Xenopus tropicalis: one gene and its partner. The protein of the gene in region 2 interacts with the protein of the main gene of each other region in a biochemical or structural test. Links are inferred from orthologs where the notes say so. Each region holds a gene or a part of one and is shown on either strand. Other genes may lie near its edges. The genes, in order: tlk2 and asf1b.

Region 1 (15,541 bases), on a different chromosome or scaffold from region 2:
TAATTTTTCATTATCTTGCCTTACAGATGACCTTGACACCCTGTTCATCAGTGCTGGGCTACAGAAGGTGCAGAACACAGTGGACCGCCGGCTTCAGGTGAATAGGGGCAAGCAGCTGACCATGTACCGGGTGTGGATCCAATGCAAATACGTTAAGCCGCAAGAGACAGAACTGCAGAATGGTGGCTGTTCTTCCGAATAAAATGGCTGCACATGTGGCAAATAAAGTGACAGCCCAGTTCAACTGTGATCATGTACGAGAGGACAAAACAGACTGTAAATATGGAGAGCGAGGGATTGTGCAGCTTTGTGTTAAGCAGGCTGACATCCTATACAGACAGACAGTATGCGCAAAGTCTTTTAAATTATTCCTTGTCTTTTAATCTATCTCTGGGTCCCACCAAGGAAATGCAGGGCATTGCCAGGCCTCTTGGGTACACGTTTATGTGCTCATGTCTGAGCTTGCACTTTTTCGCAGACCCACTTTTTCACTTTGGACAAATGCTTGCTTTTAAAAGAATAAAGTTTTTAATAAAGACTTTGTGATATTTATGATCAGTATCCTGAATGCTTGATTTCAGTTAATACATTTTTAATGCCCTTTGAGATAAAGGAAGTGGTCATCCATGGATGGCACTGCTTTGTAAATGTCTAAGGAGAATACCTAGAAAAATAATATGCAGGGATGTATTTAAGCCCACTGCTGCTAGGCAATGGACCTCAATTCACGATCGACACGTAAAGGAGAAGGAAAGGTAAAAAACTAAGTAAGCTTTATCAGAAAGGTCTATGTAAATACAGCCATAAGGACTCACGGTAATGCTGCATTGAGTCCTCTATCAAAAGAAACATAGGATTTCTTGTGTTATTTTTTGTGAATATGTTCTTCGGTATCAGACTTCCTCTCTTTTAGGGCTCCTTCAGGTGTCTGTCCATGAGTCTGCTCAGTTCTCTCCTCTCTCTCCCCCTCCCCTCTCCTGCTTCCCCCTCCCATAAGAATGCATAAGAACTCCCTTCCCCCTCCCTTAGGAATGTGTGATCTGAGCTTCCAACAGCTATAACTGCAGCAGGAAACTACCAAGAGCAAGCTAAAATGGCAGCAGCTATCGGAGGGAGCTTCTAGGGCTCTTTACTCAGGTATAGTAAAGCTTTCTGCTGAATAAATATAGCGTTCTAGGTGGCACTAAAAACTAAAAAACTACCACAAGATATTTGTAAAAGCAGGAGAACTTATATCTATTAACACAGGAACTAAAGGAAAAGCCTATAGTCAGTGAAGTAGCTATGATGCAGTTGAGGGCACTTTTAAAAAAAAAAAGGGTGGTTTGTTCAACTTTAATCATAATTTCCATTAAGCTTTAAAATAGCTTATACAGTATAAAAATACTTCCATAATTATACAATAGTCATTGAACTCATATGGGTAATGGTAAACGTACAAAACATCTGCCTGCTTACATTCTCTACATGACTCCTGAAATAGTGTAGCAAAAACTGCCAATTAACAGACCTGAGGATGAACTGACTACTACTTTGTTTCAAGAGTCAGAACCAAAGACAAGAGATATGGAAAAGACAAGGGATATGGAAACTCTGCTTTTAATATAAATACATACTTTAAAGCTATTGAAATGTGTAATAAATCAATATATTTTGAAACAGAATTTTCTTTCGTTATACCAACTTGAGAGCCCTGTTAGGTAGAATTTCCCTTTAAATGAAAAAGAATAATCTATAAAATGTAATAAAGTTCAGTTAAATCACATGAGGAAAATAAATAAATATATATAATATATATATATAGCGCGTAGGGTCTGAAATCTATATTTAGAAGTGACTAATGCTCATACTGACTAGTTGGCTTGCTGAATCAAGATACAGTGATTGGGATAGGTTGCTAACCTATTTATAATATAGCGGGCAAAATAAGTCACACATTCTTTGCACTTCCCTGAAATAAACCAGCTTCTAGGCTGCTCTTGGCCAGTTTATTCCGTCTGTTGAACCTGATTTCTTGTTACCCCTGGAATAAAATAAAAACAAAATCAGTTACCCAAACATTACAGACAAGGAAAGGGTAGATACAAATTTAAGGGATGAAAATACCACGTAGATCAATATATAGACAGTGTGTGTGTGTATATATATATATATATATATATATATATATATATATATATATACACTGCTCAAAAATTAAAGGGAACACTTAAACAACACAATGTAACTCCAAGGTACACTTCTGTGAAATCAAACTGTCCACTTAGGTAGCAACACTGATTGACAATCAATTTCACATGCTGTTGTGCAAATGGAATAGACAACAGGTGGAAATTATAGGCAATTAGCAAGACATCCCCAATAAAGGAGTGGTTGTGCAGTTGGTAACCACAGACCACTTCTCAGTTCCAATGCTTTCTGGCTGATGTTTTGGTCAATCTGAATGCTGGCGGTGCTTTCACTCTAGTGGTAGCATGAGATGGAGTCTACAACCCACACAAATGGCTCAGGTAGTGCAGCTCATCCAGGATGGCACATCAATGCGAGCTGTGGCAAGAAGGTTTGCTGTGTCTGTCAGCGTAGTGTCCAGAGCATGGAGGTGCTACCAGGAGACAGGCCAGTACATCAGGAGATGTGGAGGAGGCCGTAGGAGGGCAACAACCCAGCAGCAGGACCACTACCTCTGCCTTTGTGCAAGGAGGAACAGGAGGAGCAGTGCTAGAGCCCTGCAAAATGACCTCCAGCGGGCTACAAATGTGCATGTGTCTGCTCAAACGGTCAGAAACAGACTCCATGAGGGTGGTATGAGGGCCCAACGTCCACAGGTGGGGGTTGTGCTTACAGCCCAACACCATGCAGGATGTTTGGCATTTGCCAGAGAACACCAAGATTGGCAAATTCGCCACTGGCGCCCTGTGCTCTTCACAGATGAAAGCAGGTTCACACTGAGCACGTGACAGACGTGACAGAGTCTGGAGACGCTGGGGAGAATGTTCTGCTGCCTGCAACATCCTCCAGCATGACTGGTTTGGCAGTGGGTCAGTAATGGTGTGGGGTGGCACTTATTTGGGGGGCAGCACAGCCCTTCATGTGCCCGCCAGAGGTAGCCTGACTGCCATTAGGTACTGAGATGAGATTCTCAGACCCCTTGTGAGACCATATGCTGGTTGGCCCTGGGTTCCCCCTAATGAAAGACAATGCTGGAGTGGCTGGAGTGTATCAGCAGTTCTTGCAAGACGAAGGCATTGATGCTATGGACTGGCCCGTCCGTTCCCCAGACCTGGATCCAATTGAGCACATCTGGGACATCATGTCTCGCCAAAATATTTCAGCCAGCACAAGTAAAGTGCAAGCAGGGCTTAGCCCTTGCGTGTTTATTCAAAATGCAATACCTGACGAAGGGGTACGCCCCCGAAACATTGCATTTTGAATAAACACGCAAGGGCTAAGCCCTGCTTGCACTTTACTTGTTGTGCTGGCTGAAATATTTTGACCGGACTGTGTGAAGAGTGCCGACTCTCTAGGCTGTGCACCAAGTAGTAATTCTCTGGAGGAGGTAAGGGTGTGCTGGTGTAAATATTTTTCCTACATCATGTCTCGCTCCATCCACCAACGCCACGTTGCACCACAGACTGTCTAGGAGTTGGTGGATGCTTTAGTCCAGGTCTGGGAAGAGATCCCTCAGGAGACTATCCGCTACCTCATCAGGAGAATGCCCAGGCGTTGTAGGGAGGCCATACAGGCACGTGGGGGCCACACACACTACTGAGCCTGTAGTGTTTTTTTCCACTTTCATTTTGAGTGTGACTCCAAATCCAGACCTCTGTGGGTTGGTTAATTTGATTTCCATTGATACATTTTGTGTGATTTTGTTGTCAGCACATTCAACTATGTAAAGAACAAAGTATTTAATAAGAATATTTCATTCATTCAGATCTAGAATGTCTTATTTTTGTTTTCCTTTTATTTTTTTGATATATATAATAGTGGTATAGTACAGCAGCACAATGCATTAACCCTTTAAGTACCAGCAGAATTTCACATGTTATGCTCAGTGCCAGAACATTTTATGCTCTCTCATTTTAGGGTCATTTAATTGGAGGGGTAGTTTAGGAAAGGGAAACTATATATTGTTTTCTTCGAAATCTGCGTTTTTATATACACAGTCTGTGTATTTCGACTTCTGGAATAAGATTTAGAGCTCTAATCAAAAATTGGTACTTATGTATTTCTGCTACATACTGAACAGTTTAATGCCCATTGTGCATATGATTACCAAAGCATCTGGCATTTAGAGACCCATACCTATACCTATATATACAAATTGCCTTGGAGATCATTTCAGCTACTGACAACTCAACACATGATGCCATTTGTTGCGGGGTAGGAAACCAAAAAAATACATTGACCCCCCCCCCCCAAAAAAAAAAATCATATATTTTTGGAAAGTACACATTTGGATGAATTCAAAATGGGCTCTCATGTATTTCTACTCCAAACTACAGTTGCAATGCTTTCCCAAAATTGGCAATAAAAGCACCCTAAATATATAAGCCAAGGATCCAGTGAACAGTTTGATGCCCATTGTGCATAGGGTCACCAAGGTATCTAGCAATTAGAGACCTCAAAGTGAGGTTTGTGCACACATATTTCATGGCATATATTTCTAATACCAAAAAATACACCACCTAATTTATGTGTTGTAAAAGTGGGAAATAATTAAGTTGACCCCAGACATCATATATACAAATATGCCTTTGTAGAACAAAGCACCAAACAGCAAAGTTAAGTTAAATGAGGCAATTTTTAATTAATTTCTGAAAATTGTCTCAAAGCTTGCAATTTACTTCATTCTGTACCCCATATTTCATAACGTACCAACACAAAACATTCTAAATATGAATGCCTACTGAACAGCTTGATGCCCAGTGCATAGATTTATCAAACTATAGAGGCACCCAAATGAAAACAGTGCATTTGAATTTTTACGCCTGACACTGGCTGCTGCAGTATAAGCACCCAGTATGTGTAAGTCCACATTCTAATTAAAAAGAATGGGTAAACACATCTTTCTACTGCAAACTATTACTGTCTACAAAGCTATGCTAAACATGTTTTTTATGAATTTTCTGTAACTTCATGTGTCTTACTTCCAGTTCCACTTTCCAGTGCACAGATAACCCCCTGCATAAGGCTCCTGCTTATATGCACACTTCTATTGCAAAAGATATATAAGACATATCATACCTCCCAACATTTGAAAAATGAAAAGAGGGACAAAAAGACTTGGCGCGCGCAGTGCGCCAAATTTCCTGACCACGCCCACTTTGTGTGGCCACGCCCCAATTGCCACTCCCCATTTTTAAAAAAAATACTCCTTTTATATAGATGAAATGGCGGGATCAGATGCAAATGTGCTATACCCTCATACTGTACTACCTAAGGAAAACAATATAGCAACTCCTACATATAAAATACAAATATAGAGAGAAGGCAGTCAGTTATAAGTGAGTTATAACTATGTACCAGTTTTGCCCCCCCATACACAGTGCCCCCATACACAGTAGCCCCCCATACACAGTACCCCCCCATACACAGTGTCCCCCCATACACAGTGTCCCCCTATACACAGTAGCCCCCTATACACAGGTGCCCCCCCATACAGAGTAGCCCCCCCACAGTGTCCCCCATACACAGTAGCCCCCCCATACACAGTAGCCCCCCCCACACAGTGTCCCCATACACAGTAGCCCCCCATACACAGTAGCCCCCCCCACACAGTGTCCCCCATACACATTAGCCCCCATACACAGGTGCCCCCCCATACACAGGTGCCCCCCCATACAGAGTAGCCCCCCCACAGTGTCCCCCATACACAGGTGCCCCCATACACAGGTGCCCCCCATACAGTGCCTCCATACAGTGCCTCCATACATGCTGCAGCTTCTTCTTCAGCGTTCCCTCTCTATATGTGGCTCCTTGTTCGGCGGAGCCAGGTCCTTTTATAAGGTTGCGCCCGTACATGCGTGCGTGCAGTGTCATACGCACGGGCGCAACCTTATAAAAGGATCTGGCTCCACAGAACAAGGAGCCACATATAGAGAGGAGCCACTGGGGAACGCATACCTCCCAACATTCGGCAATTTTTTTGACCACGCCCCCTTGTGTGGCCACGCCCCAATTACCACACCCTTTAAAAAAAAACAAAAAACTCCTTTTATATAGTTGAAATGGCGGGATCAGACGCAAATGTGCTATACCCTCATACTGTACTACCTAAGTTATACGTGAGTTATAACTATGTACCAGTTTTGCCCCCCCCATACACAGGTGCCCCCCCCACACATTAGCCCCGCCATACACAGGTGCCCCCCATACAGAGTAGCCCCCCCCATTCACAGGTGCCCCCCCATACACAGGTGCCCCCCATACAGAGTATCCCCCCCATACAGAGTATCCCCCCCCATACAGAGTATCCCCCCCCATACACAGGTGCCCCCCCATACAGAGTATCCCCCCCATACACAGGTGCCCCCCCATACACAGGTGCCCCCCATACAGAGTATCCCCCCCATACACAGGTGCCCCCATACAGAGTAGCCCCCCCATACACAGGTGCCCCCATACAGAGTAGCCCCCCCATACACAGGTGCCCCCATACAGAGCCTCCATACATGCTGCTGGCTGCACGTTAGTCCTCCTCTTCAGCGTCTCCTCTATATGCGGCTCCTTGTTCGGCGGAGCCAGGCCTTTTATAAGGTTGCGCCCGTGCGTGCGTGTGACGTCAATACGCACGGGCGCAACCTTATAAAAGGCCTGGCTCCGCCGAAGGAGCCGCATATAGAGGAGACGCTGAAGAGGAGGACTAACGTGCAGCCAGCGCGTCCCGCTGTCGGGATAGTTCCATGAATGTCCCGCATTACGGAAATGCGGGACATTTATGGAACTATCCGGGACAGCGGGACGCGCTGCCAAAACCGGTACTGTCCCGCAGAAAGCGGGACAGTTGGGCGGTATGGGAACGCCTGACTACAGCCAACGCGTCCCGCTGTCGGGATAGTTACATGAATGTCCCGCATTACGGAAATGGAACTATCCGGGACAGCGGGACGTGCTACCAAAACCGGGACTGTCCCGCGGAAAGCCAATCAGATGCTTTGCTTTAGCTGTTGAAATCTAATTGCTGATTCGTTGCCCTGGGCAACATCACCGGTTATGCTTCACTCCACTTTTTACATAGCATGATAACTATACCCCTGAATGTATTTATATAAATATATTGTATATTTAAAAAAAAATATATATAATATAATATATATATACAGCATATATGGAAAATTATATGTCACAAGACACATATCCATATACACAAGTATTTAGCACATCCTTTGTTGTGTTTACAGGAACGGGTTTTATTAATTAGTATAAGATGCACAAGCAAGTTTAGACTGTCTACACGTGTCTGCAAGTGAGGTTTTCAAGCAGCACTTGTCTGCTTGCTTCTGATTGGCCCAATTTCTGCAAAAGTAAGGCAATGACAGTGGGCCATTCTGCTGGCCACACCCACAGTACCCAATCAGCACCATTCCCTGCCTGCAGACCCGCCCTTCCTGAGTGGGTGGGGCCGGCAACTCACACGTGCTGTATCTCGGCCACTCATTACTCTCTTCTTCCTATATTTTGAGTTCTCGCGAAACGAGGCTTCGCAGCGTCCCGCCCCTGTCTCTCCTGGGTCCAATCGCAAACCGGTTTCCTAGCTTTACTTTTAGGGTGGGGCGTAATGTTCTTATCACGTGATCCCTGTTGGCCAATGGTATAGTGCGTTTCATAACTCCCTGCGAGGCGGGAAAGTTTGCGCGGTCCCGCCCCTTTACACCCCTTGCGCGCCACCTGCTTGGGTAGACTTGGCGCGGTTCTTTTTTTACCTCTCGTGAACGCGCAATTGCCCTCGCCCCCCCCCTTTCTTTCACTGAATCTCGCGAGAAAACCAGCGGTTTCACTATCGTGTTTACACTAATTAAACCCATTACCCCCGATAATCCGAACCGAGCCGATCCGGGTTAAGTCGGGCGGGTGGTTCCGGAGCGGGCCTGGGCCCGTAAGAGCAGAAAATTCTCTAACGTCTCCCGCCCTCCCACAGTTTGACTTATATTCCCAACATTTCGGTGGTTTTTGAGGTAAAAAAATCAAAATAATCGATCCCCTCACTTAAAAAAATATTATAATCCCCATCACCCCCCTGGGAAGGGGGGAACAACCACTGGGGGGCGCCTTCCCCCTCCCGCCCCATCTATGACAGGCGAGCCGGCGCCAGGAGGGTGGGGCGCGGGGTTCCGCGCTTAGGAAAGCTCGGGGATTTGCGGCCTAGTGGTGTGAAGCTTGGGAGCCGAGCAGCGAGAGGAAGGAGCGCCATCACCATCCCCCCCGAGGGGACGAGGCACGAAAGTCTCCCCAAGACCCGGGGGCCGATCCACTGAGGGAGAGAGGTAATATCATCTCGGGGAAAGAGGGAGGGCCGCGGGCATCCTATACACACCCAGGGCCTACACCCGAGCATCCTGCAGCCCCTTCTAACTCCCAGCATCCTCTTCTAACTCCCAGCATCCCCTTTATAACTCCCAGCATCCCCTTTATAACTCCCAGCATCCCCTTTATAACTCCCAGCATCCCCTTTATAACTCCCAGCATCCCCCTTATAACTCCCAGCATCCCCTTTATAACTCCCAGCATCCCCTTTATAACTCCCAGCATCCCCTTTATAACTCCCAGCATCCCTTTATAACTCCCAGCATCCCCCTTATAACTCCCAGCATTCCCTTTATAACTCCCAGCATCCCCTTATAACTCCCAGCATCCCCTTTATAACTCCCAGCATCCCCTTATAACTCCCAGCATCCCCTTTATAACTCCCAGCATCCCTTTATAACTCCCAGCATCCCCTTTATAACTCCCAGCATCCCCTTTATAACTCCCAGCATCCCTTTATAACTCCCAGCATCCCCTTCTAACTCCCAGCATCCCTTTATAACTCCCAGCATCCCTTTATAACTCCCAGCATCCCCTTCTAACTCCCAGCATCCCTTTATAACTCCCAGCATCCCTTTATAACTCCCAGCATCCCTTTTATAACTCCCAGCATCCCTTTTATAACTCCCAGCATCCCTTTTATAACTCCCAGCATCCCTTTATAACTCCCAGCATCCCTTTTATAACTCCCAGCATCCCTTTTATAACTCCCAGCATCCCCTTTATAACTCCCAGCATCCCCTTTATAACTCCCAGCATCCCCTTTATAACTCCCAGCATCCCCCTTATAACTCCCAGCATCCCCTTTCCTTTGCGTTCAGGGTATTTGCTCTGCCCCCCAACATCAGAGGGGTTCCTTGACAGTACCTATAGGTAAAAGTACCCTAGGCGTGATACCTAAAAGTTAGTGACTGTTAGTGACTGTTTCTAGTATGAGAAATAGGGATTTTCAGGCTGCAGCCCACTAGTTATTGCTGAACTGCAACTTTCCACTTTGGACTGCTGTAAGTTTTGCATCTTAGACACTTCCTATCTATAAAACTACCCTCCCCAACCCAGGAGTCAGTCCCTGCCCCAGTGGAGCTTACAATCCAAGGTCCCTATCACATTCCCATCAGTCCCTGCCCCAGTGGAGCTTACAATCCAAGGTCCCTATCACATTCCTATGTATGTATGTATGTATATCTTTATTTATAAAGCGCTACTTATGTACGCAGCGCTGTACAGTAGAATTCATTAATACAGACAGGGGGGTTAAAGATAATGGATAAATACAAAGTACAACAATAAATACAAATAAATACAAGGTACAGTTGCAATAAGAGTCAGAAACACAAGATGAAGGAGGTCCCTGCCCCGTAGAGCTTACAATCTATATGGGAGGGTAACTAACAGACACAAATAGGCAAATATAAGTGCTATAGGTCACAGTGGGTGACATTACAGTATAAGTGCCAGTTTATCAGTCCCTGCCCCAGTGAGCTTACAATCTAAGGTCCCTATCACATTCCTATCAGTCCCTGCCCCAGTGGAGCTTACAATCCAAGGTCCCTATCACATTCCCATCAGTCCCTGCCCCAGTGAGCTTACAATCTAAGGTCCCTATCACATTCCCATCAGTCCCTGCCCCAGTGGAGCTTACAATCTAAGGTCCCTATCACATTCCCATTAGTCCCTGGCCCATTGGAACTTACAATCCAAGGTCCCTATCACATTCCCATTAGTCCCTGGCCTATTGGAGCTTACAATCCAGGGTCCCTATCAAATTCCCATCAATTCCTGCCCCAGTAAGATTACATGCATATATGGGTACGGTCAGTTTTATCAGGAGACCATTTAAGCTGCCTGTCGGTGTTTGGAGTGTGGGAGAGGAAACCCACATAGACAAAGGAAGCTAGTGCCTTGGCTCTTGAATTAAATGTAGGACCCCAGCACTGCAAGGTAGTCATGGTAGCCGCTGTGCTGTCTATTCATCACTACAGAGCATATTTAATGTTCATCCCAAACTTTGTTAATGTAAAGCAGGGGTGTCCAGACTTTGTCACTCTCTGATCTACTCTTGCCACCTAGCCTCCGTCAATAGATCTACCATAGTTAAAATAGTGTGTCTATCATTTTGCGTAATAAGAAAAAGTATCAATCGATGTTTAACAAATACACATAGCAATATAGAAATGCAGTCCCAAATTTACATTTAATGCCCACATAACATTATTCAAGTGCCAACTTCAATGTGAAAGGATTGTAGTAATTTTTACTTCCCTTCTTCATTGCCACTTTGTAGTCTGCACTCAGAAACATACAGTATATAAAGTAGGAACAAATATATACAGTGGCCCAGTGGGGACAATCTTCTATATTGGGATGAAACTACAAAGACAGATGGCTTGAGCAGCCACACTCAAGGCAACTTCCGCGATTTCGGAAATTTGCGGCGCCGCATATGCCATCCCACCGGCGATTTACATTCAAGCCAGTGGGATGGTATATAGGGGAGATTTGTCGAGGACGACTAATCCCCCGTCTATAGCTGGCCATACACGTGGCGATCTGACGATGTTTCGTGCGACCATCGGTAGAATTATAATTGTTTCTACCTCCATATCTGACTATTCAGCCCTGAATGTCAGTGGAGGGTGGGAACAATCTTTTGGGTGACTCGTTATTGCTACGTGTATGGCCACCTTTAGTGTGATGAATCATCCAGTTGTTCGTATAGCCTGTACCATTGCTTGCCATTGTCAGGTTCTTTTGTGGTCAGTTTGATTCCTGTTGTCAACACCACTCTGTTATCTGTGTAGCTTAGCTTATAAAATATAAAGGATGAGGCCACATAATATTGTTTGGACATAGAATTCCTTCACTGTATATATAGGTATAGGATCTATCATCCAAAATACGATATTGTCTGGTTGAAGCTAGGAAAACTGTGAGTAGCTGCCAGTTTGGCCTTGCAAACAGTTGGACAATGGATAAATGTAATTGTTGATGAAGAAAATTTTCAAACCTGCTCGATTGTTTTTCAGATAAAAAATCACTAGATGGTCTATTGTTCGGTGCCCACCAACCTTATGATTATTTGACAGATTTGTTGGATTGCACTAAAATTGGCCATTAGAGAAAGATAAATCTTAACGTGTATAGCCACCGTTAGTCTGCAAAAATAATAAACAGTAAATAAAGCCAATAGGACTGTTTTACCACATATATGGATTCATGCAACTTCAAGTACAGTTTTATTATTACTAAGAAAAAGGGAGTCTTTTTCAAATTTTAAAATTATTTGCTTATAATGGATAATTCGGCACTCTCTGGATCATGGGTTTCTGGATAATTGACCCCATACCTGTATACAGTTTGTCTGTGAGTGAGCATATATAAAGAATGATGCTGCAGCACTCATTCACCTTTTTCACCTTTGCAAATGGAAGTGCCACAGCATCATTCTTTATATATGTTCTGTTACCCCTGGAAAGGGTTTTAGCTGCTTGAGCACCCATCCAACAAGTATAAGCTAAGGTGGTTGTTGCTCTCTTGATGACTGTCTGTGAATGAGCATGGCTGGCTCATAGTATTTTTTTTTAAACTGCAGTCTATTGATAGTTGCTAAATAGTGAAGATGATTTTTCAGAATGTCACTACTGAGGTTAAAGCTGTGGCACTTGAGGTGGCATTACTCTGGGTAATTGAAAGCTCCCTTATGTAATTTACAAGGTTGATTTTTTAGTGTTTTACAGACTATTTTGGGATGTTTTCCAGTGTGACTAGTTATAGATTGGCACTCATAAGTTAACCATATGTTTGGTTTTAAGAGTTATTTCACCATCTTTTTGTACAGCATTTCACCAATTAAAGCAGGTCCAGATACAATCATTGTAACATATACAAAAGGACTGCATACTATTCATATCTGGAAGGCTTTATAGACTGTAAGAATGCATCCATAGACCTTTTGACCAATGTATTGATTTTTTTTACCACACATTGACATAAACTTATAGCTCAGATCTACTAACATATCATAGAAAATCAGTGGATGTTGGCTATTTTTTCTTTTCGCCAATAGTTTTTTTTCAAGATGTCACCTGACTGCATGGAATGCTGGGATTCAATTTAATTAGAGATGCACCGAATCCAATTTTTCGGCTTTGGCCGAACCCCCGAATCGACCGTAAGGGATTCTGCAGAATACCGAACTGAATCCGAATTTGGAAGTGTTACATGTAAGCGGATTTGATTTGGCCGAATACCAAACCGAATCCTGGATTCGGTGCATCCCTAGATTAAATTACTGCTAATATTTGAGAATCATTTTTCCTCATAAATTTGATTGAAATTAACACATTTGGGATTTTTAAAATACAGCCAGATTCTAGATTAGTTTATTAATCAGCACAGTGGAGATTACTCAAGATTATGCCAGATAATTAAACTGAACCACACAATATTTGAGTGCCCTTTGTTTTCCATTGGATGTGCAGTTAGATTCCATATCCTCATGTGCATAAGGCTTTTAAATCAGAGAGGGTGGCAAAGGTATGCAGTGAAGGAGAGAGCCCTACCATAAAGGCCAAAACACTAAATTCATGTGCTTGCTTTTAGAAACTTGTGCAATCTTTTGAGGTGGGGTGGCATGTAATTTTTATTCTTGTGGGCCCATAAACAAAATATATTGTGAACGCATGTTGCCAGCTAATTTGGCATGGAACTGGCTGGCAGATGAGTGGTTGAAACACTTATTTTGTCATGTTGCTTTGATGTACCCCAGAAAGTACATTTCTTAGTTTATTCAAAACTGCACTTACAGTAAGAAATGTACTTTCTGGGGTACATCAAAGGAACTGAGGTTTTGCCATGACAGGGGCAATATACACCTGAGAACACTTTGCTATGTAACTATGAAAGTTAGTGTAAAAAATAAAACGTTTGCAAAAAATGTATATTGCCTATTCTTTTAACTAAAAAAAAAAAAAATTTTTGCAATTATAAATGCTAATGGAAATCTTTTTGTTTTTCATACTCTCGCCCTTTCCCACTGCAAGCTGGGTAATTTGTTCAAAGGGAGATAATGAGTGCTGTATAAACAGACCCTAAGCTTGTGGCCTTTATTAGCCTTTGACCTATAAGGAGCAGCTCATTATACAGAGACCTGCGTACTGCTAATTAGAGGGATGAACATTAGTAACTGCATATAAATCTGTTCGCCGCCCTAAATAAGCCACAGATCAACCTCCGCATTGGAGGTTTGATCACCCTATTCATTATTACATCAAAAGTGCTTGTTATGAGAGATGTAAACCCAAAAATAAAACTTTTGCCAAATAATAGAAAATGACGATTAAAATACAATTTGAATTGAAAGTGCTGCTAGGTTAAACAATGTAGCAAAAGTCAGCTTTGCATGCTTCTTCCTGGATCTTTTAATTAGCTTGTTTGTCCTACATTGTTTAAAAAGTCAAAACCACCAGGGCAGAAAAGGATACATTGTACTTCAAGTATATTGAAAAGTTGCTTAGAATTGAATTTTCTTTTGCCAACATTTTATTTTTGGATTTACATCCACTTTAATCACCTATATATTATCATCTTTCATACAGCCCTTCTAGCCATTCATGTAGAGTATAAGGAGCCGCTCTGGTCTGGGGCCACGCTCCTGCCTTTTGGCATTTAGCCTGCTTCCATTTTAATGTTCTTGTTTACTTCTTTAAATCACTACCTGCACCGTGTGAAACCTCATACATACGAGCATGGATATTTAATTTATATTAGTGCAGCACAACTGAGCAAGTGGACTTGTGTGGAAGGACAGATATTACAGAGAGGAAGAAAAGTAGCCAGGATCCAGGGCTGGCTATAAGTTTCCCTCACTTCTCTTTGGTAGCAGCTGTTAGGCAGAGGTAAAATGGAGTCTGCTCCTGGAGAGAGACAGCAAAACAATATAGTCACAGCTCAGGGTAGTGAAGGGGGGGGGGGGAGAGAAAGAACTTATTCACATATTCCCTAATAGGAATGCGAGGAGGAAAGCAGTGCATGTGAAATAAATGAAATGTGTGCATTTTCACATGTGGTTTCCGCTGTCAAAAAAAGAGGCTTTGTCCACATTGATTTACAGTTAAAGGTGGGGGGAGGTGCTAATCATGGAGGGCTCTTGCCATAGTCACACTGAGGGTTGAGCCCTTTTTTATTATTCTGTGTGATATAGATGTGAGGCTTTGTGCCAGTGTGGCAGCATGCAGTCTGATAGAGACGGCATAAGGTAGTCCCCTCTCCCTCAATCCTCCAATTCCGTTACAGGATTCAATTTAGTCTGTGTAGTAAGTGCCAATTTTGTAACAAAGGCCAAATACATTGTCTTAAACCATTTTGTACATTTTTAGTTTTTTTTTAGTTTTTTTTTTTTTTACAGTTTTTTAATAAAGGTGTCAATTGTAAAAGGAATTTTCTTGGGGGCCTTGCTGTGCTTAATTATTTTATCTACCAGACATTGTGAGCAAAAATGTAGAGTCATGCAGCTTAGTTGGGATCAAGGTCAAGGTGTTATTTTACTTTTATAGAAAAAGTAAGTCATTTTGAAAAATTAGAATTTGCTTAAAATGGACTCTGTGTGAAATGGCCTTCTAGTGATTTGAAGCTTTTTGGATGACTGATTTCTGAATAAGGCATTCCATACCTGTATTTTATAATAGAAAATGTAGTTCCTTGCCTCATGCCCCATTAATGTTGATAAAGCAATTTTCTTTTCCTAACTTGAGCTAAATCCTTGTTTCCATCTAGTTCAGGGTTGTATAATTTCTGCTCTTGTGCTTTGTTTCTGCTTTATATTTCACTTATTTGACCTCTGTTGTTATTATGCCCACTTGCTGCAGTACTAAGCATGCTGTAACGTAATAGTGTATTAGGCATTCATTTTCTAACTATAACTTTGTAGTGAAATAAAAGCAGATTATAAGTAAGGGGCTGGGAATTTATTTCCTCAATCAATTTTGTACATCTGAATGTATATCTGAATTCCTGC
Region 2 (15,463 bases):
GCTAGTTAGGGTTTGAAAGGCATAAATGTTGCTGGCGAAAACTTTTCAACTACTGTGTTTATGTGCCAAAAAGTCATGTGATTTTTAGGATCCAGATTCGTCCAGGACCATGGATTCGGCCGAATCCTGGATTTGATGCATCCCTACTTTCAAACTTGTGCCAGCTATGAGCCCTCATTTGATGCCTATGTTTTCTAGATATTAGCTGCTCATTACTGGTTGATAATTGCAGCCTGTCGGCACAACACTGTCCCCTTCAAGCTTCATAAATCATTTTGGGGTTGTACGCTGATTAAACAGAATGTAAAATCCCTTCTGGAGAAGATCTGGATTCAGATGCAGGTTCATGGTCACATGGGTCTCCAATATGATCCTCTAGTTCAGGGATCCCCTACCTTTTACTCAGGAGCCACACAAGTATAGAGAGAGCTCTTTGGGGATGCCAAATAAGCCCCGTGTGGCCTGCAGGAAGCTTTGTTTGGAGTAAAACGGTCTCTGTGCTCCCAATTTTTGCCGCCAAGCAACATCAAAGTGGGTGGTGAGCAACATGTTACTCATGAGTCACTAGTTGGGGATCACAGCTCTAGTAAGTACAAGTGGACAATGCTCTGCAAATTTACTCTCAAGCACTCCCAAAAAAATTGGCTCTATATACTTATAAGAATGTGAATTCATTACAGGTCAACTGCTTTGGCAGAGGCCACACCAACAACAATAAATGGCTTCCCATATGGTTGCTACACCCTTGTGTAAAGGTGGCCATACACACTAAGACCTGCTCGCTTGGCGAGGTCACCAAGCGAGCGGTCTTCTCCCGATATCCCCACATACGGGTGGGCGATATCGGGGAAAATGTAGGCTAATTCGATCGTTTGGCCCTGTGCAACGGGCAAATCTAAATCTTTTAACCTGTCCGATCAATATCTGGCCAATTTCAGGCCAGATATCGGTCGGGCAGGGCCCTCGTTCCTGCCCCATACATGGGCCGATAAGCTGCTGAATCGGTCCAAGGGACAGATATCGGCAGCTACAATCGGCCTGTGTATGGGGACCTTAAAACCACCTTTATGCGGTCAGTCTTCCAGGTGGTTTACTACTGCGCCCTGCTCAGTAATACATATAATGTGGGCAATAAAGTTACCATCAGAATTCAAGTTCACAGTTGTTTGCTCTAAGTGCTTTTATTTAAGCAAATTCCTACTCACATATATATATAATAATTTTTTAAAAAAACACATAGGAAATTAATGGCCATCAACCATTTACATCCAGCTAAGGCAGCTGAACAAAAATACAAAACAAGAGAGGCTCCTGGAGTTTGGGGAGGACTCATATCTATTGCCTCCTCCCCCTTATTTGTGGGGCTGGGGATCCCCAAATATCTCAAGACCTTGAGATAGTAATTTATTTCGGCTGGAAAGCCACAGTCCGTAATATTTAGAGGAAAAAAAACAAAAGAAACCAAAACAAAAACAGTCTGTTGCAGTGGCTGCGGGGTCCACAGCCATGCTTGCAATTTCCTGGAGAACACTAGAGCAATCCTGCTCATTTATGTACCTGTCCGGTAGATAAAGATTCCTAGCATGTTGGGTGCAAGAAAATGTGCCAGTTCATGCAAGACCATTTTTGCAATTAGGCTAAATTCTATGCCTTATCTTGCATTTCCCAAAGACAAACCGGCTTCAAACAAGTTACCAGCAATGGCTCACAAAGCCGATGTTTATCTAAGGTCAGTGACAGCATGATTAATTAGCACCAGGCAGCAGAGAGATTTAATTGCAGGAAATGAAGTCTCTTCCTCGCTGAATGTACCGACATGCCTCAGTAGAGGAGGTGGCAATAATGCGACGGGCAAAAGGTACCCACGGAAGCTATAAACTGATGCTGTTAGGGACTCCAGGGCCACTACATTCAGCTCAGAGCCTTACTTTTACAGGCTCAAAGAAAAGAAAAAAAGGAGACAAAGATAGCAGTGTGAAAGAATGAAGTGTAACAAAATGTTTAAATGGATGGGCCTTGGTAGCTTTGGAAATATAAAACACTGAAACATTAAAAGGTTGGAAGTTTTCAGTTGAAATAATATACTGCTGAGCGAAAGGCGGGAAGATCTGTCTCGTTACGAGAGGAAGACTGCTTTTGTGTAAAAAAAAAAAAAAATCCTACTAATTGGTGAGTGGAACTACCGGCAAGCTAGACACTCTGGAGCGACAGAAGTGTTAAGTTGGCAGTGATTGTAGAGTGCTCACAGGAAGCCGAGACTGTTGTGGTAGAGAGTTTGTGGCAGTTTCCCTTGCTGCAGCCCATATTGCCCCTCTGTTACTGCTATCACATACAGTCCATGGAATTCTCTGGGATTGGGTTAAGTGCAGCTGCAAGACCCTTAGACGGGGCACAGTTAGGAGGCAACATTGCATTAGAGGCAGGGTCCACGTTTTCAATGTCTTCCATCTTTGCCTCGCTCGCGCATTCCCAGTTGATGTGAAAGCGTGTGACGCGTGGGTTTGATGCCAGGATGTTTCTCTGAAGCTGTAGATAGATCAAAAAAAAAAAAAAAAAATTGGACAAATGGTCATCTAAACCAGAGTGGCAAGCAGGCCAACACCAAAACCTGCAAGATGCCACAAGCAGTTTGTGGGCCTAACTTTTCCCAGGGACCTCCCAATTGGTGGTATCAGTCCCAGCCCCCCTGGCTGCTGGGTTCCTGGTTCACTTCAATAATAGTCTTAGTTATCCAGGCAGGAATGATGGCTACAGGTGCTCCCTTTATTTACCAACACCTGTTTTGAATCTGTAATTATCTAGGCTTTGAATTCCTACCTCCTAGTTTCTCCCATGCCTGTTATAAGTCTACCTACCATAGTTCCTGGGTACGCATTTTGTCCTGTCTTGTTCTGACCCCGGCCTGTATCCTGACTGAGTTAATTCTCCCTGTTTGACTCTGCTTCTGGATCCAGATTGTGTACTGCGCTACCATTCAGGTTTTGACCCGGCCTGCCTGATTTGGATTCTTGTAAGCTCCCTCTCACCTTAAGACCTGGCGGCACCCGAGTAGTGGAGGGCTCAACCCGAAGCCAAAGGTGGGCGTTATAGGCAGAAGTGTGAGCTATGACCGGGACCCTTGTTCTGGGTTACCGATCTTGACAATACTAATCAAAAAGCCTTACATACACAGACACACAAGTTATGTAAATACCTGGCCGAAATGTGGTTTGAGAGGTGGGTTCTCCCGTAGCTCTGGATCAGAATACTCATTGTTTACATAATATCCAACTCTGATAAACTCCTGACCACGGTACGTGCAAGTAATCAACACTACAGTCACTCCTACAGCGTCGGACTCGGGGATAAGGCTGGAATTGGGAGCATCTGCCTGCATAGGAAGAGAGAAATTTACTATAGGTGCTCAATCTAAAAATATAAAACAAAGAAAAAAATCCTCCATATCAGTCCATGGTAAGTCAATTAAGATGTATTAATAAGACTTCACGTCAATCTGATCTAATGCAAGACTCTGTAAATAAGCAAGATAGGAGACAAATGGAATGTCAGCTCTTTGACACTCACTTGAAAGACGAACATGTGGCGGCCGGCGGGGACAGGTCCCACCAAGACAGAATCCAGCACCTGATCATATTCTTCACTCTCAGCAGATCCCACATAGATGATCTTCCATTCCAGATCTAATGAGACAGTGCATAGCATACAATAAATGTGACAATACTGCTGGCGAATAACCACCCATATAACCCGATTAATGCATTCAATAAAGTTTTGCTTGTCTGGTTTAAAACCAAGGAGCATATGGGGGGGGGGGGGGGGGGGGAGAATCTGCCAGACTTCTCACTGAACACCCACTTGTACCAACTACAAAGTAGAGGAGCAGCAGTGAAGGGGTAAATGCATATTTTAGGCATAAAGACAAAAACCGTAAACATATTTTCAGTTTATCAATAATTGAAGACATGCAATGTATTTTTTTTTTTATCTAAAAGCAATAGCTGGAAAAACCATCAAAGTAATTGATAATTAGAATAGCCTAAGCTGAAACAGCACGCATACCATCATATACTGTATGTGACATCTGCAGTGACCAAGCTGCCCAGAGTGTAACCATTAAAACTGGGGATGTTCTTGAAACCTTAACATTGCCCACCACAAACTGCACTGTGAGAACTGATCTTTAGGAGCCCTATCTGACTGCTTGCCCCAGTACTGCATTATTATACATGCACACATACATGGGAGCTTTTTTCTGACTACAATGGCATCTAATTATGTAGGAGCATTGGTTTTTCACATGAAATAAAAATGTAATTCATTCATTCATTCATTGTGCTCATTTTCACTGCTGGGCTCAATACTGGCCATTTGAGCTCTGACACCACAATTGTCAAAAATATATAAATGCATAACAGGGATGCACTGAATTCAAGGTGTCAACCAAAACCACAGCCATTTTTGCAGGATTCAGTTAGGTCGAAACCTTTAGAGAGCAGTGATCCCCAACCAGTAGCTCGTGAGCAACATGTTGCTCTCCAGTCCCTTGGATGTTGCTCCCAGTGGCCTCAAAGCAGATGTTTATTTTTGAATTCCTGGCTTTTGGCCAAGTTTTGGTTGCATAAATACCATATGTACTGCCAAACAGAGCCTCATGTAGGCTGCCAGTCCACACAGGGCCTACCAAATAGCCAATCAGAGCCCCTATTTGTAACCCCAGGAAGATGTTTCATGCTTGTGTTGCTCTCCAACTCTTTTTACATTTGAATGTGGCTCACAGGTAAAAAAGGTTGGGGAACCCTGCTTTAGAGCAATGTTTTAATATTTAGCTGTACAAGGAAAGGGACAAGCCCTTGCAAATGTTATTGTAGAAGTGCAACGTTTCAGGACAAAGAATGCCTTTCTCAACCCAATTTGCCTTGAAAAGTTGCACTTCCGCAATAACATTTGCAAGGGCTTGTCCTGCTATTTGCCAGCGCTCATTTCTTTCCTTGAGTTGAGGGGTGGTCGAGTGGAGGGTGCCGAGGGAGCCTCAAACTCTATCGCTGGAGAGCCAGGGGGGGTGCAAGTGACAAACTCTCCTATCATGTCAAAATGTATCTGACAGATTTTCAGCGGTTTTCAACTTACTTGTAAATGTAATTGCTATTGAAGCAGCAAGTGTCTCTTGATATTCTCAACCAATGTCAGACTGGGGTGTCAGGGGCCCACCAGGGCCCCCCACCTCAAGGCAGCTCCTACCCCCCTCGCATCAACCCTAACACATCTGCTCCCAATCCACAGATCCATATATATTTATAGATCCACGCCTTTCCAATCTCCGACATCACAGAGGGGTCAGAGCAGGCGCGTGCTCAAGGCAGTCTAAGAGCTCGCCCTGAACCCGTCTGCAACCCACTTCTGCTGTGCCAATGTCGGCCAGAACCTGTGGGTCCGAGCCAGCCTGCACATCACTTTGCAGAAGGTGTTGGCTTTTACAAGAGTTTCAATAGTCAGAACAAGGTACTGCCTTCAATAGCTATTACTTTTACAACTATTAAAAAGTTGCTTAGATGTATATTTTTTTTTTTATGAGGCAAAATTGTATTATATTATTTTTACAATCCCCATAAAGGGGTGGTTCACCTTTACTTTAACTTTTAATATGTTACAGAATGTCCTATTCCTAGCAACTTTGCAGTTCATCATCATCATCATTTATTTTGTATAGCTTTTGTATTCTTTGCTTTTCTATTCTACATCTTAAAAGCTTTCAAATGGGGTTCAATGAACTTGGGGCAGCCAACTATTGCTCTGAGGGCTCACAACTGATCTTATATATTTGTTACTTTTTATTCCTTAGCTTTCTATTGAACCCCTTTCCTTTTTATACTCCAGTCTCTCATTTAACCATTGCCTGGTTACTAAGGTAAACAAGTTGCTAGCAAACAGAGAGCTGCTGAAATTCTAAACTGGAGAGCATGTGAACCCAGCTAAATAACCAAAAACCACTGTGCAAATTGTCCCAGAATATCAATGTCTATGTCATACTAAAAGTTAGTTTAAAGGTGAACAACAACCTTTAATATATACCCACCCACTCAAACCTGCCCGATCGAGATCTAGCCAATTTCAGGCCCAATGTCGGTCGGTTAGGCCCGTTGTTCGTGCCCATACACAGGCAGATAAGCTGCCAAATCAGTGTAAAGGACAGATATCGGCAGCTAGAACAGGACCATGTATGGCCATCTTAAATCTCCCATGTTGGGAACATCTAAAAAGGCATGCTTGATGAGAATAACAGTCACTCACCATCTGGCAGGTCCTCTATGCATTCAAAAGTAATTTCAAATTGGAAAGGGTTGTGGAAGGGGCAGGGGTTATCCAGCACGACCATGTTGAGAATCTGTACTTTTGCCATGATGCCTCCCAAGCTGTAAATGCCAGCGATGTTATGTCACTAGGGCTAAAAGAGATGTAACACGTGTTTACAATCAAACAGGAAGAGAGAGACCTATAAAATCTGGTCATTAATTTTTTTGCAAGGGTTAAATAGGTTACTAGAAACAAATAGGAAATAAGTTTGAAAATCAGCAGTTCCTAAAGAAAAGCATTTCAAGAGCATATATCTTTAAGTGAAAAGGTATGGCAGTCTTTCTGTGAGAAACTGCATTCTGAATTGCATTTCTGGCACTTATTATACTCTGTACTTGCCCTTCTCTAACAGAAATACAAGAAGCCTATGTGTGTGTAAGGGTGAAGACACACTGAGCTACTAGTAGCAGCTATTTTTAATGGCAACTAAACTCCAGAAAATCCCCTGACATAGACAATACTGAGAATTGCCTCTGCTAACACACAGACTATCAGTAAATGATCAGCATTGTCTATTTTAGTAGCCACGACAAGTTGCTGCAACTAGTAGCTCTGTGTGTCTTCACCCTTACACTGCACAAACCCTTTCCTTAGCCTCTATTCCCCCCCATTCATCCTGATATCTGAAAGTCAATTAGAAATAAGCTCGGCTGTGCACCCCACAAATCAGTCGCTGGATTTCCCAGTTTGCTCAACAGGGGACTCCTCTCTATTCCGCTCAATATCCTCTTCACTCCTTGGAATCAGTCGCAGACACATTACAGTGAGATCCTGCCATGCATCGAGTCAATCATTTCTGCATTTAGACGAACACCGAATTTAAAATATGGGAAAAATTCAAACCACGTCACCTTCCATAAACTAAAAACACATGTCACACTTAGCTGCCCAAAGCTTTAAAGGCACACAACTAAGGGGTTGAATGAACACCTAGGGGTATATTTATCATGCTGTGTAAAGAGTGGAGTGAAACATTACCAGTGATGTTGCTCATAGCAGCCAATCAGATGTTTTGCTTTGGTTTTCTAACTGTTGAAATCTAATTGCTGATTGGTTGCCCTGGGCAACATCACCGGTAATGCTTCACTTCACTTTTTACACAGCATGATAAATATTCCCCCAAGTATTTAGCTGAATCCTGCAAAAGGTGCCTGGATTTGGCCAACTCCTGAACTGAGCGTTTCTCTAGTAGGAAGCAATGGCACGGGAAGTTTTAATGCTGCCCAATAGCCGTCTGTTTGCGCTGCCGGCAGTGCTGTTCCCACTGTTCTGTCAGGTTAACAGACAATTCTATGATGTCTCCTACTCAAGCCTTGTTATCATATTACAGCATGCATTACATGTTCAGATCCCCCCCATTACAAGGTAGAGTTACTGGTGTATGCATATTATAGCAACAAAGGGAAGCCCTGTGGGTACGATATACTGTGAAATGACCCCAATGACCAGCCACATTCAACTCGCTACAGGCAGTGGGACAGTTACTTCTTATAGCACATGTCTGAGGGCCAATGGGGCCTTTGGGAGGAGCGTGGGGGGCACATAGATCCCTTAAGGTGGCCATACACGCACCGATAATATCGTACGAAACCTCGTTTCGTATGATATTCAGTGCGTGTATGGTATGTCGGCGAGTCGACCGATATCGCAGGAAGCTGCTGATATCGGCCGACTCGCCGACCGGACCAGTTTGAAAATTTTATGGCGCCTGACCAAAATCTCCCTTCAGCTCTGAATCGGCAGAAGGAGGTAGAAATCCTATTGTTTCTACCTCCTTACCTGCCGATTCAGCCCTGAATAGTGTGTGGCGGATCTGACGATGTTTCGTGCGACCGATGGTTGAACGAAACATCGTCAGATCGCCACGTGTATGGCCAGCTTTAAGGTGGCCACACACGTGGCGATCTGCGATCTTTTGTGCAACCATCGGTCGCAGGAAAGATTGTCAGATCCGCCACTAACCTTCAGCGCTGAAACTGCAGGTAAGGAGGTAGAAACAATTGGATTTCTACCTCCTTCTGCTGATTCAGCGCCGAAGGGAGATTTTGGTCAGGCGCCTTCTATGGCCCCCGATCAAAATCTTCTGACGTTGCTGGTCGGCGAGTCGACAGATATCAGCAGCTTCCTGCGATACCGGTCGACTCGCCGACTTGCCATAAACGCACTGAATTTCGTACGAAACCAGGTTTCGTACGATGTTATTGGTGCGTCTATGGCCAGCTTTAGATCTGGCCCACGGGCCCCAACTTGGCTACTGCCAACATGAGCCCCAATACTAACAATGGGATCCCCTAAATATGCTACTCACATTCCAATGAAAGCAATGTTAACCGAAGTAGCAATTATTTCTATATAGGTGTCACACTGGGCTCAGACAGGACTTTCATCCAATAACCGGTTACAGGAGGAGGCTCACAATAATAATAGTAACAGGTTATTATAAGCACCAACACATACTGCAGAGCTGTACAAAGCCATAACTAAGTATCCCTATCAGTTAGTTATCCCTATCAGTTAGTTATCCCTATCAGTTAGTTATCCCTATCAGTTAGTTATCCCTATCAGTTAGTTATCCCTATCAGTTAGTTACCCCTATCAGTTAGTTACCCCTATCAGGCAGCCCCCAGGGCTGAACTACAACTCCCAGCAGCCACAGACACACAGAAGCTTAACAGAAATAAAGTGCAAGCCTTTATGCCAACTAGTGATACAATTTGTATGTTGAGCATTAAACTATTTTCGGATGTTGGCCAAGTGCAAGACTGAGGGCTCCCTATACAAGTATATTCCTATATAAGTTATAGGCACACATTAGCCACGCCCCTGTGAGTAAACACGTACAGGGAAATGGGGATTATGGACACACAGGTAGGGACTATTAGTTCAGCCTGTGGCCCCCGAGTTAATATTCTACAGAGACTTGTAGTTCACCAGCAAGGTGGGCATGGGGGGAGTAAGAGTGGGCTGACAGCCCGGAGTAGAAAGGAAACAGCACTCACCTGTTGTGGCGTCTCCTCCTTCCCCGGTATGCCCGGCTGTACCGCTCCGTCCCACACAACCGTCACAAACAGCCCGCTCCTTCTTTCCCGCCCTCCGTTTTGTCTCCCGCGCCTCGCTTACAACCTCACTCCAAACGCGCCCCCCAGCCCCGCCCCCTCTGAGCCGCAAGCCCCTCCCTCTCACCGTCAAGCAACAACCAATGACGCTTCTGGATAGTGTGAAACGCATAATCACCCCCTATCTATGCAAGCCTGTAAACAGGGGTATAATGGCTCTCCCCCACGTACAGCCGAGTCTGCCTTACCAAACCAGTACATTAAACGGATTCGCTTCCTACGTCTAAAAGCCGTTCGAAGTCGTTGCCAGCATTAAAGATGGCCGCTGATTCTACCAGCTTTGGTCACATGGTCGGGGCTTGTCAGTAGCTCTCACGTTTGATTGGAGCACGGTGTTTGCTTCCCGCGCCGTTTGACGTTCGTTCCCGCGTCGGGCATTATCTTCCGGCTTAGGCTGACGCAACTTCCGGATAGGCAGGTATTGCGCGGGAAGTAAGAATGCGTGGGGTAGGTAATGGGGCGCTGATAAATACCATGACGCACTTGTGAAGCTGGGGTGTAACGGAACCGGAAACAGACTAGGGGCGGCCGAGTAGGGTACTTACTGGTAAACATTTTCCTGCCATATATTTGTTTTGTTGCACTAAACCATTATTTACACCTTAAGCATTTTTTCTGGATAAAAAAAATACAGGCTTTCATTTATTTGTGTGCATATTCCCTATTAATAAGGTTGGCATCAAGCATCATTTTTACTGCTTAGGTGGCAACCTTGCTTCAGCAGTGTGGGCAGTATATGTATTTATACTGGGAACTGGCACTTATATTGAAGTGTCACCCACTGTGACCTACAGCACTTACATTTGCCTATTTGTGTCTGTAAGTTACCCCTCCCATATAGATTGTAAGCTCTACGGGGCAGGGACCTCCTTCCTCTTGTGTCCTCGACTCTTATCTTATTGCAACTGTATCTTGTATTTATCTGTATTTATTGTTATACTGTGTATTTATCTATTATCTTAATAACCCCCTGTTTGTATTAATGTATTCTACTGTACAGCACTGCGTACATAAGTAGCACTTTATAAAGATATACATACATACAGAAACAAAGGCTGCGCTATAAAGTTTTATATTTCTATCAGGCTTGTTTAACCCCCCCCCCCCCAGCCTCTGTAGGGAATTCTGGGAATTGCTGTGCAACAAAATGATAGAAGGAACGCAAGATGGCTGTTAGAGGCGGATGTAACCGCCTCAGCCTTTATAGGCGCTCACGCCATAATTCATCGTTTCTAATGCTGTGTGAGAGGGAAATGGCTCTGCTATGTCTAGTCAAGGATTAAAGGGGACCTGTCACCCTAAGAAATAAGTCCAAATTGTTTTCTATATTGTTAGTTGAGCAAAATAAACTGTACTTACTCTATATAAATAATATACATTTTGTTTCCTTCCGTCTTGGAATTTCTCAATCAAAGCAAGCAGGCAGGCGCCATTTTGTGGACCGTGTTATGAAGGCAAGCTTTGTATCACCCCAAAATCTTGTTTATGTGACTGACTGGGGGACCAGATGCCCATGCACTGGCTACACAGTTAGGTGAGGAGGAGGGAGGGGAGAAGTTAGATGTGCAGTGACATCTAGGTAGTGCTGAATGGAAAGCTAAAGTTATTGTCTGCACCACCTCTATGACTAAGGCATTTTATGCCCCCAACACCCTCAGAATATTGTAGCCTGAGCTGGACAAAGTGGTATTTCTCTGAAGCACTGTTTATAACATGGGCCAGTCTGTACTTGTGGATATTTGAGACACTGGCCCTGGAAGGATGTACACTGCGGAGCATGACATGGAAAGGGAAAAGCAAGAGAGGGAAGACAGGAGAGAATAACAAAAGGGGTTAAGGAAAGGTGCAGATAATAGCTTATGTGGGGTAGGGAAGAGAATGGCAGATAGAAAGAGGTTGGAAGATGGACACAAAGGATTGTGGAGTGAGGTGTAAGAGTAGGGTTAAAGTTACAGAAGGAAGGCAAGAAGGGATACAGTTGGACTGATAAATGTTCAGGGAATGGGATATGAGGTAAAAGACTAGGAAGGGGTGTGTTAATAATGGGAGAAGAAACATGGTATAGAGAAAAGGTAAAATTCTAGTACAACCTCAGGGCTTTATTTATATATCTTTGGATGTGATGGGCAGTGAACCCTTAAGGCAAGGACTAGCTATTTGACAAGTCAGGATAGGCAGAAGCAGGATGGAAAGGGTTAAAAGACCGAAACAGGCAAGAGCAAGGGGAACAAGAACTAGGGACAAGCTGTCAGAGGTCGATGCTCAGGCAAGAAAGTGAGGTCAAAGAAGGGTTCAAATAAGTCGGCTCTGACCAATAAAGCTGCTGGGTTGTGATGGAACAGCATGATGAAAACTTGAGAATAAATATGGATGAGATTAAATCAGAGATACAAGAACTCCCCAGCTGCTCTCCTGGCCTAATGGTTAAGGAGGATGGCTGCAAACCTATGGGTTCTTGTCCCATATCCTAGCCAGTCTTAATAATTATTTACTCCCTTGCTATGAAACACCTAAAGAATAATCTGCATCCAATTGCCTTTAGCAGCTACTTAATTGGCTGAAAAGTATACCCATGTTTAAAGTCTGGCATCCCATAATATTGCATATTGTTTTTTAACACTTTGTTAAAATATATATATATAAAAACAAACGTCATGATGGCCAAGGATGACAACAAGTCTGGAGGAGCAGAAAAAAAAATCCTAAACTTTAAACAAAAAAAAGACTGATCAAATTATTATAACAATGGAAGGAATATTAGAAAACCACAGATATTTGGTGACCTAGATGTAACCCAAGAGTCTAAAGGCAACTCTGCTTGATAGAACCATCCATGGTACATCCATAACCTGGATTCTCTATAATGTTTTGATGAGTAGAACACCATGTGGAAAAAATATATCAAGGCCTGTTAGAGTTTGCCCAAAATCATGTGGGAGCAGGGTCACCATCAGATATCACAGGCCCCTCCAGCATTGTCTTCTGCGCCTCCGGCCTTCCCGGGCAATGCCTCTGCACTTCTGACTGCACGCAAAAGAAGACAGACCCTTTTATAAGGTTGCTCCCCGTTTGTACTGACATCACACATACCCACGGGGCACGACCAATTGGATTACCCGCTGACCACCCATGTCAGGGTCCAGAATTGATTAAAGGGGGCCTGAGCTACTAAGAAAGCTGTAACACAGCCAGGCCCCCTTTTAAAGGGAAAATTGCAGCTGTGCCCCCCTGATGGCGGCCCTGTGTGGGGGAGACAGAAAATGTGGGACAATGTTCTTTGCTTTCATGAGAACAACCCTTTAGCCTGAGCCCAAAATGCTGTGAGTGCCAGAAAGCCAACACCCTCCAAACAGCAGCCCCAAGGTTTGGCATTGTGGTGGTAGCTTCATGTTGTCTCAATGCTTTTCTGTGTGTAACCTGAGACTGGGATAGAGAGACCCCAAACACAGAGCCAAAGCTACGGTGAATGTCTGAGATTGGCTCATTTAAACCCAGGCATCAATCCAGTTAAGAATTTAGGACAAAACTTGAAATTGTTGGTTCGCCAACTGTCCCTGTTCAACCGGCAGAGCTTGAGCAATTTGGGCATCAGAATGTAATCAAATGCGAGAAGCCAAAACATGATTCAGATCTTTTTATTGTCAACCGTTATCTCAACCGTATAAGAAACCATATAAGAAACTTACACAGTGGGACAAAATTGTTGCATTTCAAGCCTCAGAAGGACAATACACAACACAAAGTGAATACTGTGCATACAAACAGCAATGTAATGTGCAAATCAATACAATTCCAATTTTCCAGTGTGTCACCATAGCATATAATCATGTTATTTTAATTCTGTTTCCAATTCAGTTTTCAGCCTTGTGTGTTATTATAATAAAGTACATATATTACTGTGCAATCATACAATTTCAAGCCAAATGCTGCAATATCGTTTTACAGATGACAATAAAGCAAAAAGATTATAGAGAGGATGTAAAGGATCAGCCACAATGCTTGATATCTTTCTTAAACAACGTCATTTAAAAACATGATCAATTGGTGCTGGGAAAGGCCGTGTGTAATACTTCTTACCCCAAGCTGAGAGAGAAAGCACAGGGAGCTAGAGATGTAAGACGCTGGCGGGAGGGTTAATTCACATATATAATGGCGTTGCTGGTTCTGGAGAGCTGGGGAAGGGGAAGAGTTCATGAAACAATACAGAGCTGAAGTTGCCCGACTACAGCGTTCAGAATGCTTCAACCCTTAATAATACATTACAGCAGAGATCCCAAACCTTTTATACCCATGAACCATATTCAAATGGAGCAAAGTTTTGGAGAACAACACAAGCATGAAAAATGTTCCTAGGGGTGCTAATGAGAGCTATAATTGGCTATTTGGTAGCCCCTATGTTGACCTTAAGCCTACAGAAGGTTCTGTGTGGCAATTTCACTGGGTTTTATGCAACCAAAACTTGTCTCCTAACCAGAAATTCAAAAATAAGCAACTACTTTGAGGCTACAGGGAGCAACATCCAAAGGGGTTGGTGAACATGTTGCCCCTGAGCCACTGGTTGGGGATCACTGCATTCAGGTATACAGGGTTTGTAGTCTGCCAACAACTGAGTAAAGTGGGGTTGGGAAATAGTGTATAGCAATGATCCCCAACCAGTGACTCAGGGGCAACATGTTGCTCCCCAACCCCCCTGGATGTTGCTCTCAGTGCCCCCAAACCAAGGAGTTATTTTTGAATTCCTGACTTGGGGGCAAGTTTTGGTTGAATAAAAACAAGATTTACTACCAAATAAAGCCCCTGTAAGCTGATAGTGTGCATAGAGGCCCCTAATAGCCAATCTTAGCCCTTATTTGGCTCCTCCGTGAACTTTTATGGTGCTTGTGTTGCTTCCCAAGTCTTTTTACATTTGACTGTGGCTCCTGAGTAACAAAGATTGGGGACCCTTGCTGTATAGCTATCTTCTTGCGCTTGGTCAGCTAGTAATTTGATCTCTAACTCCTGATCTGGGTTAGTCTCTCCCCGCTTTCTATAGTTCTGAACAGAAATAAATATTTCACAGCAGTTTAAAAGGGGTAGTTCAATTTTAGGGTAACGTTTAGTATGTGCAATTGGTCTTCACCAGAAACTGCCCCTAACAATAAGCTAACCCGTTTTTGTACAGTACATATTCTGACAAATTCAGAATTGGTAAATATATTTCTAAACCAACCTACCAAACTGGAGATCTCTGCTAAAATTAGTACTTTTTATGAAGCGTCCAAATATTGATTAAAAACTTGCATTTAAAGCATCTCCCATGTTTATGGGTACAAATCGTGCCATGTTCTGAACAGTTTGATGCCCAATGTGCATGATTTACCCAACTATGTGGTACACAGAGACCCTAAAATATGTATAGTTCATACAGAGTTTTATGGCTCACATTTCAGCCACCATGCAAAGTGCAATTTTGAGTTGTAAAATACTGGAAATATATTCTAATCCATTTGGCATCACTTTGCCACTCGCCATCAAAACTGCCCAAAAGGCCAACCTCCATTGCATAGTAGGCCATGCCCCTGTTTTCTTCAGCGTGCTACACGTGACATAAGATTAATATACTATTTGAGCAACCACGCTCCTGCCAATTTTTGATATTGACATTGCATATTTGCACTATATGTTCCCCTCAGGTGACGCCCAATAATTTTGTATAGTTTTTGAATTATTTGCTTTTCTCTTCTGCCTCTTTCCAGCTTTCAAATGGAGGTCACTTTCCCCTGGCAGCCAGTCTCTTATTCAAACCAATGCCTGGTTGCTAGGGAAAATAACACCCCAACAACCAGACAGCTATTGAAATGGAGAGCTGCTAAGCAAAAGCTAAATAAATGATAGTTCTTATAGCACTTTATAGCTTTATTGGCAGACAAGCCAGCTAGGAAGGATGCTTTGAGTGAAATGTTGTATAAATGTCACAATAATATCTTCTAATTGTGATTGTTTTTGCAGGGAGAGAG

The links.
Region 1: of the proteins of asf1b (region 2) and tlk2, one has a biochemical effect on the other in vitro, tested with the Homo sapiens proteins (3 studies listed by BioGRID). The link is inferred for Xenopus tropicalis from reciprocal best matches to the Homo sapiens genes ASF1B and TLK2.

Annotation. Positions count from the first base shown.
Region 1 is NC_030686.2:15,289,184-15,304,724, reverse strand, and holds the start of tlk2 (serine/threonine-protein kinase tousled-like 2), read left to right. Parts: upstream 1-8,306; 5' UTR 8,307-8,486; intron 8,487-15,541. Other genes in the region: mettl2b (tRNA N(3)-methylcytidine methyltransferase METTL2), read left to right, coding at 27-202. UniProt on the Homo sapiens protein: Serine/threonine-protein kinase involved in the process of chromatin assembly and probably also DNA replication, transcription, repair, and chromosome segregation. Phosphorylates the chromatin assembly factors ASF1A and ASF1B.
Region 2 is NC_030679.2:134,220,692-134,236,154, forward strand, and holds asf1b (histone chaperone asf1b), read right to left. Parts: upstream 9,400-15,463; 5' UTR 9,351-9,399; intron 6,443-9,350; 5' UTR 6,398-6,442; coding exon 6,289-6,397; intron 3,681-6,288; coding exon 3,565-3,680; intron 3,371-3,564; coding exon 3,194-3,370; intron 2,527-3,193; coding exon 2,326-2,526; 3' UTR 1,166-2,325; downstream 1-1,165. UniProt on the Homo sapiens protein: Histone chaperone that facilitates histone deposition and histone exchange and removal during nucleosome assembly and disassembly. Cooperates with chromatin assembly factor 1 (CAF-1) to promote replication-dependent chromatin assembly.